Linked DNA regions of Tamandua tetradactyla. The protein of the gene in region 1 interacts with the protein of each later gene in a biochemical or structural test. Links are inferred from orthologs where the notes say so. Each region holds a gene or a part of one and is shown in the gene's direction. Other genes may lie near its edges.

Region 1 (7,248 bases):
ACCCCTGGGAGTCATGTCCCACGTAGGGGAGGGCAGTGAGTTCACCTGTGTGCTGTTACTTTTCGCATAGCCGCTGCTTCCCTGGCACTTACTGGGCGCCAAGCATTTCCTGTGGACTTTATCACTTTATCAAGTCTCTGACCCTCCACAGCCTCACAAGCCAGATCCTGCCTCACTCCATCAGCTCACAGCGGGGTGAATCTAGCCAGATGGGAACTTGCCTGCCCAGGGCCCCGAGTCCATGCTCCGAGCCCCGTGCCAGCCACCCTCGCTCAGTGCCAGGCGCAGCCTCCTCCCTCCTGCGGGCCCCGGGCCAGGGGTCAGGAGGGAAGGGGTGGTAGAAACAGACAGCCGAGACCGCACAGAGGGCACTTCAGGAGTGGGGGTGCCACTGCCACACCCAGACATGTGCAGTGTGGGAGAGGAGCCACGCCTGCAGAGCCGGGGACCAGGGCTCCAAGGGGTAAAGGCACCTGAGCCTGACGTTCCAGACACAAACACACACACTCATTCACATGCTCAGAGACACACACAGAGGCACACAGACACAGAAACCCCTAGACCTACACAGACGTGCATGCTCACCCCCACGTGCACACAAGCACACCCAGAAACACACATACTCACACCCCTAGGTTTACATGTGCAGACACACACACTCATTTCCACATTTCCATGCACACCAGGGCGAACACACACAAATTCATACACATCAGACCTACACACACCAGACACAGAGTCACTGAGACAAAGCATTTACCTGCTCGTTACACTCAGACACACCCAAATACACACCTGCTTAGAGACACACAAATCCAGATCACACACAGCACACACACTTGCAGACACGTACACACATGGTAGATACACCCCACACTTACACACCCACACAGTTGCACAGACATACGACACCTGCCCAGATGCTTGCACACACATGTTCAAACCCACAGACTCGTCCTCAGACACCTGCAGACACAGACACACAGGCCGCACACATCCAGTTTCACACAGACATGCATTCAAACCTGCCGGGCAGCTTCCTTACCACACACTGACACACTTACCACCAGACGGCCCAGCGATCATTGGCCCTGCACCTCCATCACACGTGTTCACGCAACGTTGCACCACGCCCAGGGACCACGCCTGCGAGGGGTGAGCACGGCAGTGTAGGGAGGGGGCTTCCTGAGGTGCGCTGCCCGGCTGAGGTGCACTCCGTACCCCTATGGGTAGGAGCCAGGACGCTCCGGGTGGTGGGAGCTGTCAGCTGTTGGAGAGCGTTGTGCCGAGGTGTGCCCTCCCCAGGCTGGGGGCCCTGTGGCTCCAGAGCCCGAGCAGGCCTGCTCAGAGCCTGGCGAATCTTCCCCAGGTGGGGGATCAGGAAGGCTTCCTGGATCCCCCAGGAATCCAGGAAGTAGGAGTGCACAGTTGGAGAGGCAGGAGACGGAGCCCAGGGCGGGACCCCGGGCCCACAGCCTGGTCAGAGTCTCCTCAAGTTCCCTCTGTGTGTGGCTGCATGCATCCCCAAATGCAGCCTGGCTGCTACCTCGCAGCCCTCAGCTCCCCTGATCCGTGGGCCCATGGCCCAACGCTCTGAGCACCTGCTCCCCGGGTGCTTTCAGACGCTGACCTGGGCGGGAAGGGGTCTGGGGCTGCTAAGCCAGGTTTCAGGGAAGACCAGGAGGCCCCTTCTGGGGGTCTACAGCCCCCCAGAGTAGAAGCCCATGCCTGGTATATTTCTTTTGCATGGGCAGGCTCCAGGAATCGAACTTGGGTCTCTGCACAGCAGGCGAGAACCTCTGCCACTGAGCCACGGGGGTACTGCCCCCCGGAATATTTTGCAGCCGGGTTTCCACCTCCTGTGTCCCCCAGTGCATGCGTTTTGGACTCTGGGCCCATCTCCCCATTTGGTGCTTGTTAGATAACCTCTCCTGGCTTCCATGACCTCATGTGGAAAATGGGCCCAGTAATGGGTTGTTTTGATGATTCCAGGTGTTATCAGGCTGAAATGATTAGAACACTGGCGGCCGGGCTCAGACAGACCACTAGTATTTCTCTGTGGCTGGTTTGTGATTTTGAGGCTGCGACTCTCTTCCCAGCAGCCTTCTCTCTTTAACAGACGGGGTAACAGGCGTGGGGAAAAGAGACTTTCTCTAGAAACTGAGTTACACTATGCCTGTGAGGGGAGAGAAGGCTTCCAGCAAAAATGGTTTAGGGGGAACCTATGTAGGAGAAACATATTCCAGCCTGGGGTCCAGAAAAAGACGTCCTGAGTCGGGGGCGGTGATGAGAAACAGCCTTTGGCAAGCAGTAGTTTTATGTCTACATTTCATGGACACAGAGTCCAGAGAGCTTATCCGTTCCTATTTTGGGGCCCTTCTGCACAGCGTTTATTGAAAACACCCCTCCCCAAATCCTTAAGACTAGTCCCATACAACCCCCTTCTCTGCCTGGTCACGGGCGCGGCCTTCAGTGACCCATGTCCTTGGCCTGGCCTAATTCTAACCTCTCAGGCCCCTTATCACAGCATTCACCCTCCGCCACGCACTCCTGTGGGGGCGTCAGGGTTCTCTAGAGAAACAGAACCAGCAGGAGAGATCTGTGAAGATGAGATTTATAAAGGCGTCTCACGCAACCGTAGGAATGGAAGAGTCCAGAATCCGCAGGGCGGGCTGTGAAGCTGGCGGCTCCAATGAAGGGTCTGGATGAACTCCACAAGACAGGCTCGCTGGCTGAAGAGGTAGTGAAAGGGTCTCTCTTCTCCCTTAAATGCCTTCAACTGTTGGATTATGTCGTTGTGGGAGACACACCTTAGTTGATCACAGATGTGATCAGCCACAGATGCAATCAACTGACTGACGACTTAGTACACCAGCTTTCCGGTTTAACAACCAGCATGAAATATCCTCACAGCAACCATCAGGCAAGTGCGTGCCTGGCCAGACACCTGGGCACATCACCTGGCCAAGCTGACACCTGAACCCAACCATCACAGGGGGTTCGTAGAGACTGGGGGGTCCCTGGGAAAGGGGACCTGGGTGGAGCCCAGAAGGGAGCACAGGCCAAGGAGCCCCCACCTCCCGTCCCCCAGAAACCCTACAAGATTGTTCCTGGGGACTCCCTGGGGCCAGGCCCCCCACAGGGTCCCTAAGCCCTGGATGAGAAGCCACTGGGAGAAATCCTCAACTCAAGTGCCCGAGAGAGCTCGTGGGTAAGTGGGTCCCCCAGAGGCTCTGGGGGCACCGGAGGGAGGAAGTGGCCATGGGGTGGAGTGGCTTTAGGACTTTTTCTGCAGGGCCCCATCTGAGGGAGCAGCTGTGAGGTTTGCCTGCCTGGGCAGAAGGTGAGACAGCTGCCACCCTGGGGAGGGGCAGACTGCTGGGTGCCAGGCCAAGAGCTGGGGAGGGTGAGGGAGAGGCGGTGGCCAGAGCAGCCGGTGGCCAGGGGCCAGGAGAGCGTGTGGAAGGTCGCGGGTGGACTGGCTGGGGTTGTCCCTTGTCCCTGTGTTCACTGTGTGGTCAACCCTGCCCTCCCTGACATCCCCAGGCTGGGTCGGGGCTCCTTTGGGCCCCCACCGTCCAGCCCTACTCTTCCTGCTGACCTCGCTCGCTGCCTTCCGCCCCGGCCTGGCGCCCAGCGAGGGCAGGACGGACTGCTGTCGCCCCGAGGCCGGGCACTTGGCAGAGGCTCCGGAGGCTTGGGGCCCCCACCTCCCCAATGGATCTCCTCCATCCAGCTTTAGCTTGCTGGTGGGACAAATCAATCGCCCTTGTGGGGTGGTTCGTCAAGAGGCTGGCCCCAGGCCCCTGTTCCTTTCCACTCCCTTTGGGAGAGGAAAGAGGGGGCATCCTGGTTTCCCAGGTGTCCTGGGGTCCCCTCCCCGTCACCCCCACCCCCATTCTGCACACGCGGTCCCCCCCAGGTTGGGGCCTGCTGTTGGGTCACCATCCTTTCCACCTAACCCCTGCCCAAGGCTGCCCAACGTCCCCCCAGGCCAGGCAGGCCCTGCTGGGCCCCGGAAACGCCCCCTGCCATCCCTGGCCCACGTGGCCTGTGATTTTCCTTGAACGCAGCACTTTGTGACTTTGACGTAAACTTCAAAGGCGGCCCCCTTTCCTGCCTTCGCATCAAGGAAATACGTTGAGTTTCAGAGAAACCCGCTGCCAAGAGCGCAGCAGGCCTCCCGCCTGGGCCTTCTCTGCCGGCCGCGTCCAGGTGAGTGGCCCTCGCTGGCCTGCTATCACCGCCAGCCCAGGGCTCTCCGCCCCGAGGGAGAAACCCTGGAGGGTGGGACCTCCTTGCACCACGACTGGGTACAAGGGGCTGGCGAGCAGGCTGGGGTTCTGCGGCTGGGCAGGGCCAGGAGAGACCCAGCGTGGCTTTTTGGGTCAGGTCTTCATCCAGATCCACTGTCTGTCGGCCTCGGGAAGCCGCGCTCCCTCGGGACCTGTTGGCTGCGACATCCACCTGCACATCTCCCAGGTAAGCCCCGATGCAGCAGCACTGGGCCGTACCTCTGGGGCCATGGAAGGGGCCACCCGGGAGAGCCGGCTGGGCTGAGAGCCATGGCCAGTGTCCGGCGGCGGAAGGAAGCAGGTGCTGCTTGTGGCCTCCTGGGGGGAAGCAGCTCTGGTCAGAGGGTCCGCCGAGTGGCAGCCCGGGGCACCCAGAGGCCTCTCGCTCCACGTAGAGAAACCTCCAGAGAAAGCAAATGTGCACCCTGGCCTCCAGACCCTGCTAATTTGAGGGCAGCTCAACGGGCCTGTGACTCTGAAAAATAAAATGCCGAGGCTTTCCGTGAGGTGGCTGAGACCCGTGTAGATGAGGCAGGCTGGAGACAGACCCAGAGAGGAGGAGCCGAATGCTCGAGTCCTGCTCAACTGCTGTGCATCCTTGGCATGCTGCTTGTCCTCTCTGAGCCTCAGTTTGCATGTGAGTAAGTGCAACGGCACCTACAAGGTGTGCACCTGCCAAGTGTGCAGCTCCGTGGGCGAGAGCTGGGAAAAGTACCCCAGGCAGGAAAGAGTCTGAGCTAGTAGGAACAGGGTCCGTGTGGTGGGCAGCAGGAGATGGACTTCGTCGCCCTCTCCCTGGCCCAGGCAGCGGGCAGAACCCTAAGTGCCTAATAAAGCTTTGCTGAGAGGTCAGGGCCAGGGACGCCCAGAGTGCCGTGTCCTTGGGTGGCCTGCGAAGGCTCTTCTGCCCAAGTCAGAGCTGCTTCTCCCTTTCCTCGCCTTGTGACGGGGGCAGGGGGCAGCCTGCGGGTCCGCTCTGGGGCCAGGCTGCCTGCTGCCCGCCCAGGCTCTGCCACTCGTCAGCTGGTGACTGACCAGGTCACTCACCCCTCTCTGCTGCCTCTGCAAATGGGTGGGGTGGTAACCCTGCCCCCATCTAGACAGCAGGTGCCCCGTGAGCCTATCGCCTTGAGCAGCTCTAACCTCCAGCTCTAGGCTAGTCTCGGGTCTGGACCCCAGGGCCCCCTGACACCCACTCTCCCGGGTGGCAGCCACCCAGCCCCTCCCTACCTTGCCCCAAAGCACAGGGCCTTCCCGCCGCCCAGGACGGTGCTGATGCCTGGAGCCAGCATCCCGTGGTGGAGGCCGGGGGGCTGCCCAGCACCCACGCTGCCCCCAGCCTCTATCAGACCCCATCCCCACCTCCTCACTCCCTCCCCAGCTCCTCCCGTCTCATTTCACGGGCCGGGCACACAGCCTAAGAGCTCTGGCCGCACAGGGGCGAAGGGGCGCATTGGTGAGTCCATCATCAGATACTTAGTGGGTGCAGACTGGATGTGGGTGCCGGCCACCAGCGCAGCCGCCTGGGCCTGGACTCACAGGGTGGTGACCCCGGGGCTGTGGCACCCCCGGGGACCCTCTCAGAGCCGTGGACTCTGCTTCCCACAGTCTCATACCTTCACTGGGGGACATAGCTGCCCAGAAAGGCCCGAGTTCAAACCCCGACTGTACCTCTTGTGAGCCTGACGTTAACCTCTCTGAGCCTTGCTTTTCCTTGCTAAGCAATGGGACGAGTCTCCACTGAGTGGAGTTAGGTTAGATGGCTGAGGACAGTCCCTGACACAGACACTGTGGCCTTCTGACATTATTGGAGGGAGGAGGGGCTGCAGTAGGAGAGGCAGCTGTGGGCTCTGGCTGGGGAGTTCCATGGTCAGGTGGTCACATGTGGCTGTGTGGGGCTGTGACATGGGAGGACAGAGCCCTGGGAGCCCAGGGGGTCCCTGACTCAGCCTGGGGGCAAGGGGTGGGGGGGATGGGCGCTGTCTGGACGGAGGGAGGGGCACCTGCGCAGTCTCCTCTGGACTGGCCTCTCCTCCCGCTCGGTGTCCACGGTGGAAGCCTCTGGTCTACCCTTCACCCCTCTGTCCTCAGGGGCCCCCTTTATCCCTCGCCAGACTGCCCGGGCCCTGAGGATCCCCAGAGATGCCCACTGCTGTGGGCTGCATACCTTCCGGCCTCGGGACCCCCAGCCCAGGGTAGAACATGCACTGAGGTCACTGCCCCCGGCTCCAGGCCCCCACCATGCTCAGGACTTTACTTTCTGTATTAAACAGTCGACTCAGTAAACACCTGCTGGGCACCTGCTGTGTGCCTTGCTGGTGTAGGCAGGGGAACAAGAAGTCCCCACTCTCACTGCGCTTGTGTTCCAGCAGGGGCAAAGGATAGAAATCAGCAGGCCAAGGCAGGCAGCACGTTTCAGTTGCTTAAGAAAAATAAGGCTGGGTTGAGGATAAAGAGGGAAGGGAGCACTATTTTAGAGAGGGAGGTCAGGGAAGTCCCCCTGGAGGAGGTGACATTCAAGCAGAGACCTGAATGAAGTGAGGGAGTGTAGGGGGAGCGTGTCCAAGCAGAGCGAACAGCAGCACAGAGGTCCTGAGGGCGGCCCAGGCCTAACTCGTTCAAGCTGCTTGACAAGTGCCACAAGGAGGCCCGCCTGGCTGGAGCGGAGGGTGCCGGGCAGGGAGGTGATGGGCATGAGGCTTTCACCCCAGGGAGGGGAGCCCTGGGGGGCTTGGGCAGAGGCGGAGACCCAGGGCTCGGTGCTTGGAGCCTCGTCTCCCGGACTCCACCCGACCACCCAGGGCAGGCGCCCTTGCTGCTCCGACATGCGTATGAGGTCCAGGCAGCGTCATCCACTGGCTCGGGTCACTCAGTGCTGTGGGGTAGAGCCACGAGGCATGGCTGTGCCCCTGGTGTCAGGAGGAGCCCCTAAAGGTACCTACCGCCCCTGCCC
Region 2 (7,740 bases), on another chromosome or scaffold:
CACTCCTCCGGTTCTCCTCTTGTCTGCCTGGCTGTTGCTTCTCTGTCCTCTGACGTTTCTCCTTTTTGTTCCCGTTCTCTGCCCCAGAACTCCATCTTCAGCCCTGGGCACTATGTACTTTCCTTGGGTGATCGTAATCTGTCCTTAGTTTCAGGTGTCTCTGGTGGACAACCCCCTGCCTCAGATCATTTACTGTGGGGTGTCTTGGGTGGGATGGGATGGAAACTAAGATGTATTTTACACCTACTGGATGCAAGGTGATGAATGGACCTCTTATTATCCAACCCTCACAAGAGCTCTGTGAGCAAACTACCCTCCTTTTGCAGATGAGAAAACTGAGCTCAGAGAGGTTAAGTTATTTTCCAGAGACACAGCTAGTCATGGTGGAGCCAGGATTCAAGCTCAGGGTTGTCTGTTACTAAAACTCCGGCTTCTCCTACCATCCCCGCCACCTCTCCAGAGCTGGCTGGCAAGGTAGGCTGGGAGGCCGGTTACAGGGTGGGGTGCCACCTTCCCCATGTCTTGTTCCCCAGCGTTTCTGGCTGCTCCTCCTGACCCGGGGCCTGGTGGGGGTTGGGGAGGCCAGTTACTCTACCATCGCACCCACTCTCATCGCCGACCTCTTCGTGGCAGACCAGCGGAGTCGGATGCTCAGTGTGTTCTACTTTGCCATCCCAGTGGGCAGGTGAGTGGGCCTGGGCCCTGGCGGGGAGGCACATGGACCTGAAGTTGGGGACCTGGCTGAGCAGCTGTCCTCTTTCCTCTCCTGCCTTCTCCACCCAGTGGCCTGGGCTACATCGCAGGCTCCAAAGTAAAGGATGTGGCTGGGGACTGGCACTGGGCTCTGAGGGTAAGTCTGGTCATGGTCTGGGGAAAAGTCAACAATATTCTTCACTGATCCCCCTTTCCTGTCTTCAGACACCTCCTTTTTGAGGCAGCATTCATTGCTGAGTGTACAAAACCTCCCTGCCCTCATGAAGCCATGTGCGAGACAGAGGTCTTGGCTGTAGGTGACAGAAGCCCATGTAGAACTGTAAACCTATAAAAGGGACTGTATTGGCTCTCATAATGGGAAGTCCCAGGGTGAGTGTCAGGTAAAGCTGGGTCCAGGACTCCTACAGTGTCGCAGAAATTTAATCATCTTTTTCTCAGCTTTAATTTCTTCTGTTAATTTTATTCTCAAGCAAGGAAAACCTCCCAACTTATCATCCCCATGTAGAGACCTTTGCACTGTGGAACCTTGATCAATAGTCCCACATTGCTGTCTGATTACATGATCATGGGTCACATACCTGTCACTGAACCCATCACCAAGGCAGAGAGTTGGGGGTCTTTTATTAGCCAGGACTTGATTGTATGCCCAGCTCTATTTGAATCATGTGGCTTGAGAGAAGGGGTGGGTGGCTTCCCAGGAGAAAATTAGGGTGGCATTACCAAGGAGAGAACAAAAGTAAAGTCTGCAAAATGGGTGACAGCCCCTCCAAATTACAGGCTCAGCTTCGTTGAGCAGGCATATATCTGCATCTTTGAGATCTTGGGGCCCCAGTTGCATATAAACATCCCCACTTTCCCCCAAGGTCAGGTCAAGGGTTCCTGAAGCCCGCTCTTTCCCCAGGTGACCCCAGGTCTGGGAATCGTGGCTGTCCTGCTGCTGTTCCTGGTAGTCCGGGAGCCGCCACGGGGTGCTGTGGAGCGCCACTCAGACTCGCCACCCTTGCACCCCACCTCGTGGTGGGCGGATCTGAGGGCTCTGGCCAGAAAGTGAGTACAGTCCCATCCTGGGCCAACATCCAAAGGCCCCAGAGGGACCTTGAACATCTGGTTTGAGATTTGAGTGGGCGTGGGCTTTCCTTTCTGCTGGCCCTCAAACCCTAAGGTTGGCAATTTGGTCACTACTGCCCCTTGTGGCAGCGGCTTGAATTACAGGCCTAGGTGCAGGGAGCCAGGCCAGCCTTCCTCTCAAAATCAAACCAGGAGGGGAGAACAAAGATCCCCCTCTCCAGACCCTTGGGTGGAGTCTAACCTTTTACCTCCCACCTGTTCAGTCCTAGTTTTGTCCTGTCTTCCCTCGGCTTCACTGCTGTGGCCTTTGTCACGGGCTCTTTGGCTCTCTGGGCTCCTGCATTCCTGCTACGCTCCCGTGTGGTCCTGGGGGAGACCCCACCTTGCCTTCCTGGAGACTCCTGCTCCTCCTCTGACAGGTACCCAGGTGGGGCCAGGGAGGGTGGTCTGCAGGAGAAGGAGGGTGGCATGAAGAGACCCTACGAGTCACATCCAGGCAAGGAGACTGAGTCCCAACTCCATAAGGCCTCTTCCAGCATCTCAGTGCCCCTCGGGGCTCTGGGCTGTTGGGGCCTGAGCCTGGATAGACTTGAGCTGTGAGGGTGGCTGGGAGGGGTCACTTTCCATCCCAGGCCATAGGGGCGAGGGCTGGGGTCTTTGCAGGCAGAGGGATGAGCCCCCTGCCCTCCCCCTGACCCCCTAGCCTTATCTTTGGGCTCATCACCTGTGTGACCGGGGTCCTGGGTGTGGGCTTGGGAGTGGAGATCAGCCGCCGCCTCCGCCGCTCCAATGCCCGAGCCGACCCACTCGTCTGTGCCGCCGGCCTCCTGGGCTCCGCACCCTTCCTGTTCCTGGCCCTCGCCTGTGCCCGTGGTAGCATCATGGCCACCTATGTGAGTAGCCAGCAGGTGTCGGGGGGTGGGGTTCTGGGTTCAGGGTAGAGGAAAGGTACACTGAGCAGGACTGGGTCAATCAGTATCGCGGGTAAGAGCAGCTCTGGAGTGAGAGTGCCTGGTTCTGAATCACAGCTTTGCCCTTTCCTAGCTGTGTGATATTGGACAAGTGACTTAACCTCTCTGTGTTCATTTTCCTCATCTGTAAAATGCAAATAATAGCCTATCCCAGTAGGAGGATTGTAAAGATTAAATGAATTACCAGATGAGCCTAGGGGGATGGTAGATCCTCCATGTGCTTGCTCTTATTGTGATGACTCCTCCCTTGGCCCCAGATTTTCATCTTTATTGGAGAGACACTACTATCCATGAACTGGGCCATCGTGGCTGACATTCTGCTGGTGAGTGGCTGGGCAGCTCCAGGGTTAGCCCAAAGGCTGGTGGGAGCAGGGCTTGGGGTCCGGAGGTCTTTGCTTGGCTTCATCCCTTCTTTACAACCCACCCCCAGACTGATTTCAGAGTGCAGCACGCGGTAGGCCTATAATCCTGGCCCTACCCTGTGACCCCAGTCTGACCGCAGCCTAGGCTGAGCCGTGACCCTGTCCTCATCCTCTTCCTCTTGCTCCCCACCGGGAGAGCATCCCCACTGAGCCCTCATCTCTCCCACCCCGCAGTACGTGGTGATCCCCACGCGGCGCTCCACTGCCGAGGCCTTCCAGATTGTCCTGTCCCATCTGCTGGGTGACGCTGGGAGCCCCTACCTCATCGGGGTGGTGAGCGCTGCCCCCTGGCCGGGCTTGTGGTAGGAGATGGGGGCCCCTGTACTTCCAGCGGCCAGTGGTCAGAGCCTGGGTCCCAGGGGAAGGTCTGGCCCAGCTGGGTATCCATGTCCTCGGTGCCAGGCACGCCTCACCTGGGTGGCTCAGCTAGACCGGGAAGTTCGTTCTTGGATGCTCTCCCCCTGGAGGCCGTGGACCTTACCTGGCGGTCCAAACCTCCCCTCCTTTCATGGCCTCCATTTTCCTTCTTTATCAGGAGTCAGGGGCTCCCTGTCCTGGGTTCCTCTCCAGGTCTCTCTGACTCTCTCTCTGCTGAACTTCCTCTCCTCTCCTGGCTCACCATCCTCTCTCCATAGATCTCCGACCGCCTCCGCCGGAGCTGGCCCCCCTCCTTCCTGTCCGAGTTCCGGGCCTTGCAGTTCTCGCTCATGCTCTGCGCCTTTGTTGGGGCGCTGGGCGGCGCGGCCTTCCTGGGCACTGCCATCTTCATTGAGGGGGACCGCCGGCAGGCCCAGCTGCATGCGCAGGGTCAGTTGGGGCTTCCCTCGGTCTGTCCATAGCTACCCATCTAACCTCCCCATACTGCCTGTGTGTCCGTCCAGCTGTCTGCCCAGTCTGTGTATTTGGCATCCCTGGGTCTACATCTCTCCCTCGTCCAGCTCCAGGTCCTTCTGTGTTACACTCTGGGGGCTCCCCACTGCTGCCTTGTCCATTTCCTATCACTTGTTTGTCCCCTCTCTGGCTTTGTGTTTGTCCGTCCAGCCCTGGCTCTGTCCCTCCCACCCCCAGGTCTGCTGTGCGAGGCGGGGTCTGCAGATGACCGTATCGTGGTGCCCCAGCGAGGCCGCTGCACCCGGGTCCCAGTGTCCAGCATGCTCATCTGAAGGGCTGCTGCTCCTCTGTCTGCATACCTGCCGTACCTGGTCCCCAGCCAGGAGGTGCCCAGGCCCAGACCTTCGGCTGGGCCCAGCTCCCAGGAGGGCTCTGGGCCCCGCTCCAGCTCCCGGACTTGTCGGGCAGCGTAGGGGGCTGGGGGGCGGCGGGGCTTCCGGGAGGGGTCTCCCTCTGCTAGGGTAGCCCCAGGGGCTTGGTGCTATTTGTAATGGAATAAAATTTGTAGCCAGACCCTGCGTTTCTGCTTGACTCTTTCTCTGGGTGCGAGTGACCTCTGACCTCTGGACCACAGGGGATGCCCCTTCCCCATCGTCAGGACTCCCTGAAGGCCGGTGGGGTTACTGCGGTGGGGCTGTGGGCAAGCCCGAGGGTGGACTGCTGTCCGAGTGAGCTGGCTCAGTGTGATGGTGAGTCACGTACATGGTTCCCCCTCGCGCCCGCCCCTCTGGGCAGGCAGGCCAGGGGGGAGGTGGGCTGGGCCCTGCCCTCCGTGCCTGCAAATTCCCAGCGTCAGCTCCTCTCTCCTGCTGTCTCCTCCGGGCCAGGGTGGCCCACAAGGGCCTTGCCCCTCAGCCTGGGGACCAGCCGACCCTCCTCAAGGGCCTGGGGGTGGCTCCTCAACCTTCCTCCTCTCCACTCCCTGCCGGCTGGGTGGGGGTGGGGAGGGGGCGGGTGCAGCCTGCTGAGGAGCCCGATGATTTCCTGCCCTCACCCGGCGCTCACCACAGCTTCCTGCCGCAGGCGGGTGGGCGCCAAGGAGAGGCGGGTGCTGAGCCAAGGGGCAGGTACGGCTGGGGCGCAGGGACCACGCAGTGGGTGGCTGGTGCCTATGCCTTCAGTCTGGGCCCTGGCCTAACCTGCCCGGGGCCCAGAGCTGGTGCTGAGCCCCACACAGCCCCAGCGGGGGAGGGGACCCAGGGAACCCCCAAGGAGGGCACAGCAGCCCCCCTCCCCCGGCCCCCCGGCCTGGCACCCACTGGTCTTGGCACCCCTGCCCGGCCTGCTCCTCACCCTGCTGCAGCTCTGCCCTGAGGGGCCTGCAGGGGTGCAAGCGGGCCTGGCCCCAGGTCTCTCCTGCAGATGGAGGCGGCCATCCTGGTCCCCACCGTGCTGGGCCTCCTGCTGCTGCCCGTCCTGGCCGTGTTGCTGATGGCTCTGTGTCTGCACTGCCGTGAGCTGCCAAGTGAGTGGGGAGCCGGGGCGGGGGGCGGAGGATGGGGTGCTCGGACACACAGACGGGGAGCCTCACCCCATTTCTCAGCCCCTAACTCCCTCTTTTATCCTGTCCCCACCTCTGTCCCACACCCAGAGACTGAGGGCCGTCCTGGACTCTGGAGGCCTTTCCCCTCAGCACCCCCTTTTCCTGCCTCACCAGCCCTCTCTCCCCCAGGTTCCTACGACAGTGCTTCCTCAGATAGGTGAGTGCTCCTGCTCGGCCCCTGCTCGGTGCATCTCCCTCCATACCCCGGGGCTGGGCTGGGCCGGGCCAGGGCCCACCGCTCCGTTCCTCAGCTGTTTCTCTCCTGCCAGTTTGTGCCCGAGCAGAATTGTGGAGAAACGGACTCGTGAGTACACGGAGGCTCCCTCCGTCGAGTGGCGGGAGAGGGCCCTGGCGGGTGAGCAAGCGTGCGCCTTTGTCCAGGTTTCTTCCTGGCCACCCACCGGGAGCTGTGCCTCTGGCCGGGACTTGAGTTGGGGATGGGGTGGGAGGTGGGTGTCTTTGGGCCTGTCCAGAGCCCAGGGGGTTGGGGGTAAACGTGGAGAGCAGCGTCCGTCTGCCCTTGGACTACAAGAGTAGGGGCAGATGCCTCGGAGTCATTCCTTCAGCTTGATTTTCTGTCCTCAGACACACTTGCCCCCTGGCTGCCCGTCACTTCCTACCCACCCTTGAGCCAGCCAGACCTGCTGTCCTTCCCGTGAGTAGTCCCTCAATCCCCTGTCCTCCAAATCCTGTTCTCACCTTGAATTGGGGGGCTCTTTCCCTGTTGTGACCCTCCGTGCACTTGGAGCCCTGAAGTCCTTTCCCAGGCATGACCTCTGACCTTTGGCTCCCAGGAGATCTCCACAGCCCCCTGGGGGCTCCCACCAGATGTCATCTTCCCAGCAGGACACCAACAGTGGTAAATGCAGAGGGAGGCTGGGGACTGGGGCTGAGCAGAGGCTGGGCCTGGCCCGAGCTGACTCTCTCTCTCTCTCCCTCTTTCTCTCTCTCGGAAGCCAACAGTGTGGCGAGTTACGAGAACGAGGGTGCGTCTGGGACCCTGGAAGTCCTGGCTGGGGTGGGGAGGCTGGGGCCACACCTGGAGTTGCTGACCCCTGTGTTCCCCCTAGAGCTGGCCTGTGAGGATGCTGACGAAGACGATGATGAGGAGGATTATCACAACGAGGGCTACTTGTGAGTGGCTGGCAGGGGGGAAACGTGGGGGCCGAGGTGCTGCCGCCCTCACTGACCTACCTCTTGCCTCGCCCTCAGGGAGGTGCTCCCCGACAGCGCCCCGGCCCCCAGCGCCGCCATCCCACCGGCTCCTGTGCCCAGCAACCCTGGCCTCCGAGACAGTGCCTACTCTAGTGAGTCAGGGACATCTGAGCACCTTCCAACTCCCCCTGCCCCTGCTTTTGCCTCTCGTGTTACCTCTTTGATGATTTCTATCCCGCAATTTCCTCTGTTTTCTTTCTAGAACTCCTATCCTCCAGATATTGAACTCCTGTTCTGATCGTCTGATTTTCTTAGCTCTCTTCTCCTCTTTTCTGTCTCTGTGTCTTTTTATCTGATTGTCGGGAAGATTTCTTGGACTCACTTCTTCCCACCCTTCTATTGAAATTTTGCTTCTCCTTGGTCTCTGAATGTTCCTTTTTTAGCACCTCCTGTTCTTGTTTCATGGAGGCAGCAGTGTCTTCTAAATCTTGAAGGATACCCATACCGGGATTTGGTGGGGGACTTTTCTTTGGTTTCCTGTATTGTCTCGGTTTGCTTCAAGCTGCTCTTCTCCCTCTGTTTTGGCCTCAGCCTAGCTGTTGGAGATGTCCTCAAAGCTGGGGGTGTTCAATTTTCTATAACTCCCCTTTCTCTATTTGCCCTGCACCATCACAGCCACACCCTGGCTTCATTTGCCATCTTGATTCTCAACTTGCCACCTCTCTCCTGAGCTCCAGCCTATCTGACCAGGTGGTTCTTTTCATCCATCCATCCATCCATCCATCCATCCATCCATCCATCCATCCAACAGATATCTTCTGGGTGCCTCCACTGGGCTGAGGCTAGGGATACAACCGTTAATGAGGTAAACTCTATTGGTAATAACAGCCAGCATCTTTTTGAGGACCTAATAGGTACCTTACAAAGAGTTTATATGTGCTAATTTATTAAATCTCACAATTCCCAGGTGCTGTCG

What was found.
Region 2: of the proteins of ZAP70 (region 1) and LAT, one has a biochemical effect on the other in vitro, tested with the Homo sapiens proteins (2 studies listed by BioGRID). The link is inferred for Tamandua tetradactyla from reciprocal best matches to the Homo sapiens genes ZAP70 and LAT.

What each region holds. Positions count from the first base shown.
Region 1 is NC_135343.1:3,443,698-3,450,945, forward strand, and holds the start of ZAP70 (tyrosine-protein kinase ZAP-70), read left to right. Parts: upstream 1-4,115; 5' UTR 4,116-4,215; intron 4,216-4,392; 5' UTR 4,393-4,482; intron 4,483-7,248. UniProt on the Homo sapiens protein: Tyrosine kinase that plays an essential role in regulation of the adaptive immune response. Regulates motility, adhesion and cytokine expression of mature T-cells, as well as thymocyte development.
Region 2 is NC_135349.1:25,126,148-25,133,887, forward strand, and holds the start of LAT (linker for activation of T-cells family member 1), read left to right. Parts: upstream 1-4,659; 5' UTR 4,660-4,752; coding exon 4,753-4,755; intron 4,756-5,089; coding exon 5,090-5,133; intron 5,134-5,415; coding exon 5,416-5,531; intron 5,532-5,657; coding exon 5,658-5,766; intron 5,767-5,878; coding exon 5,879-5,964; intron 5,965-6,194; coding exon 6,195-6,264; intron 6,265-6,403; coding exon 6,404-6,468; intron 6,469-6,565; coding exon 6,566-6,743; intron 6,744-6,821; coding exon 6,822-6,916; intron 6,917-7,740. Other genes in the region: SPNS1 (protein spinster homolog 1), read left to right, coding at 534-685, 784-850, 1,616-1,761, 2,046-2,201, 2,486-2,675, 3,011-3,076, 3,350-3,448, 3,811-3,982 and 1 more. UniProt on the Homo sapiens protein: Required for TCR (T-cell antigen receptor)- and pre-TCR-mediated signaling, both in mature T-cells and during their development.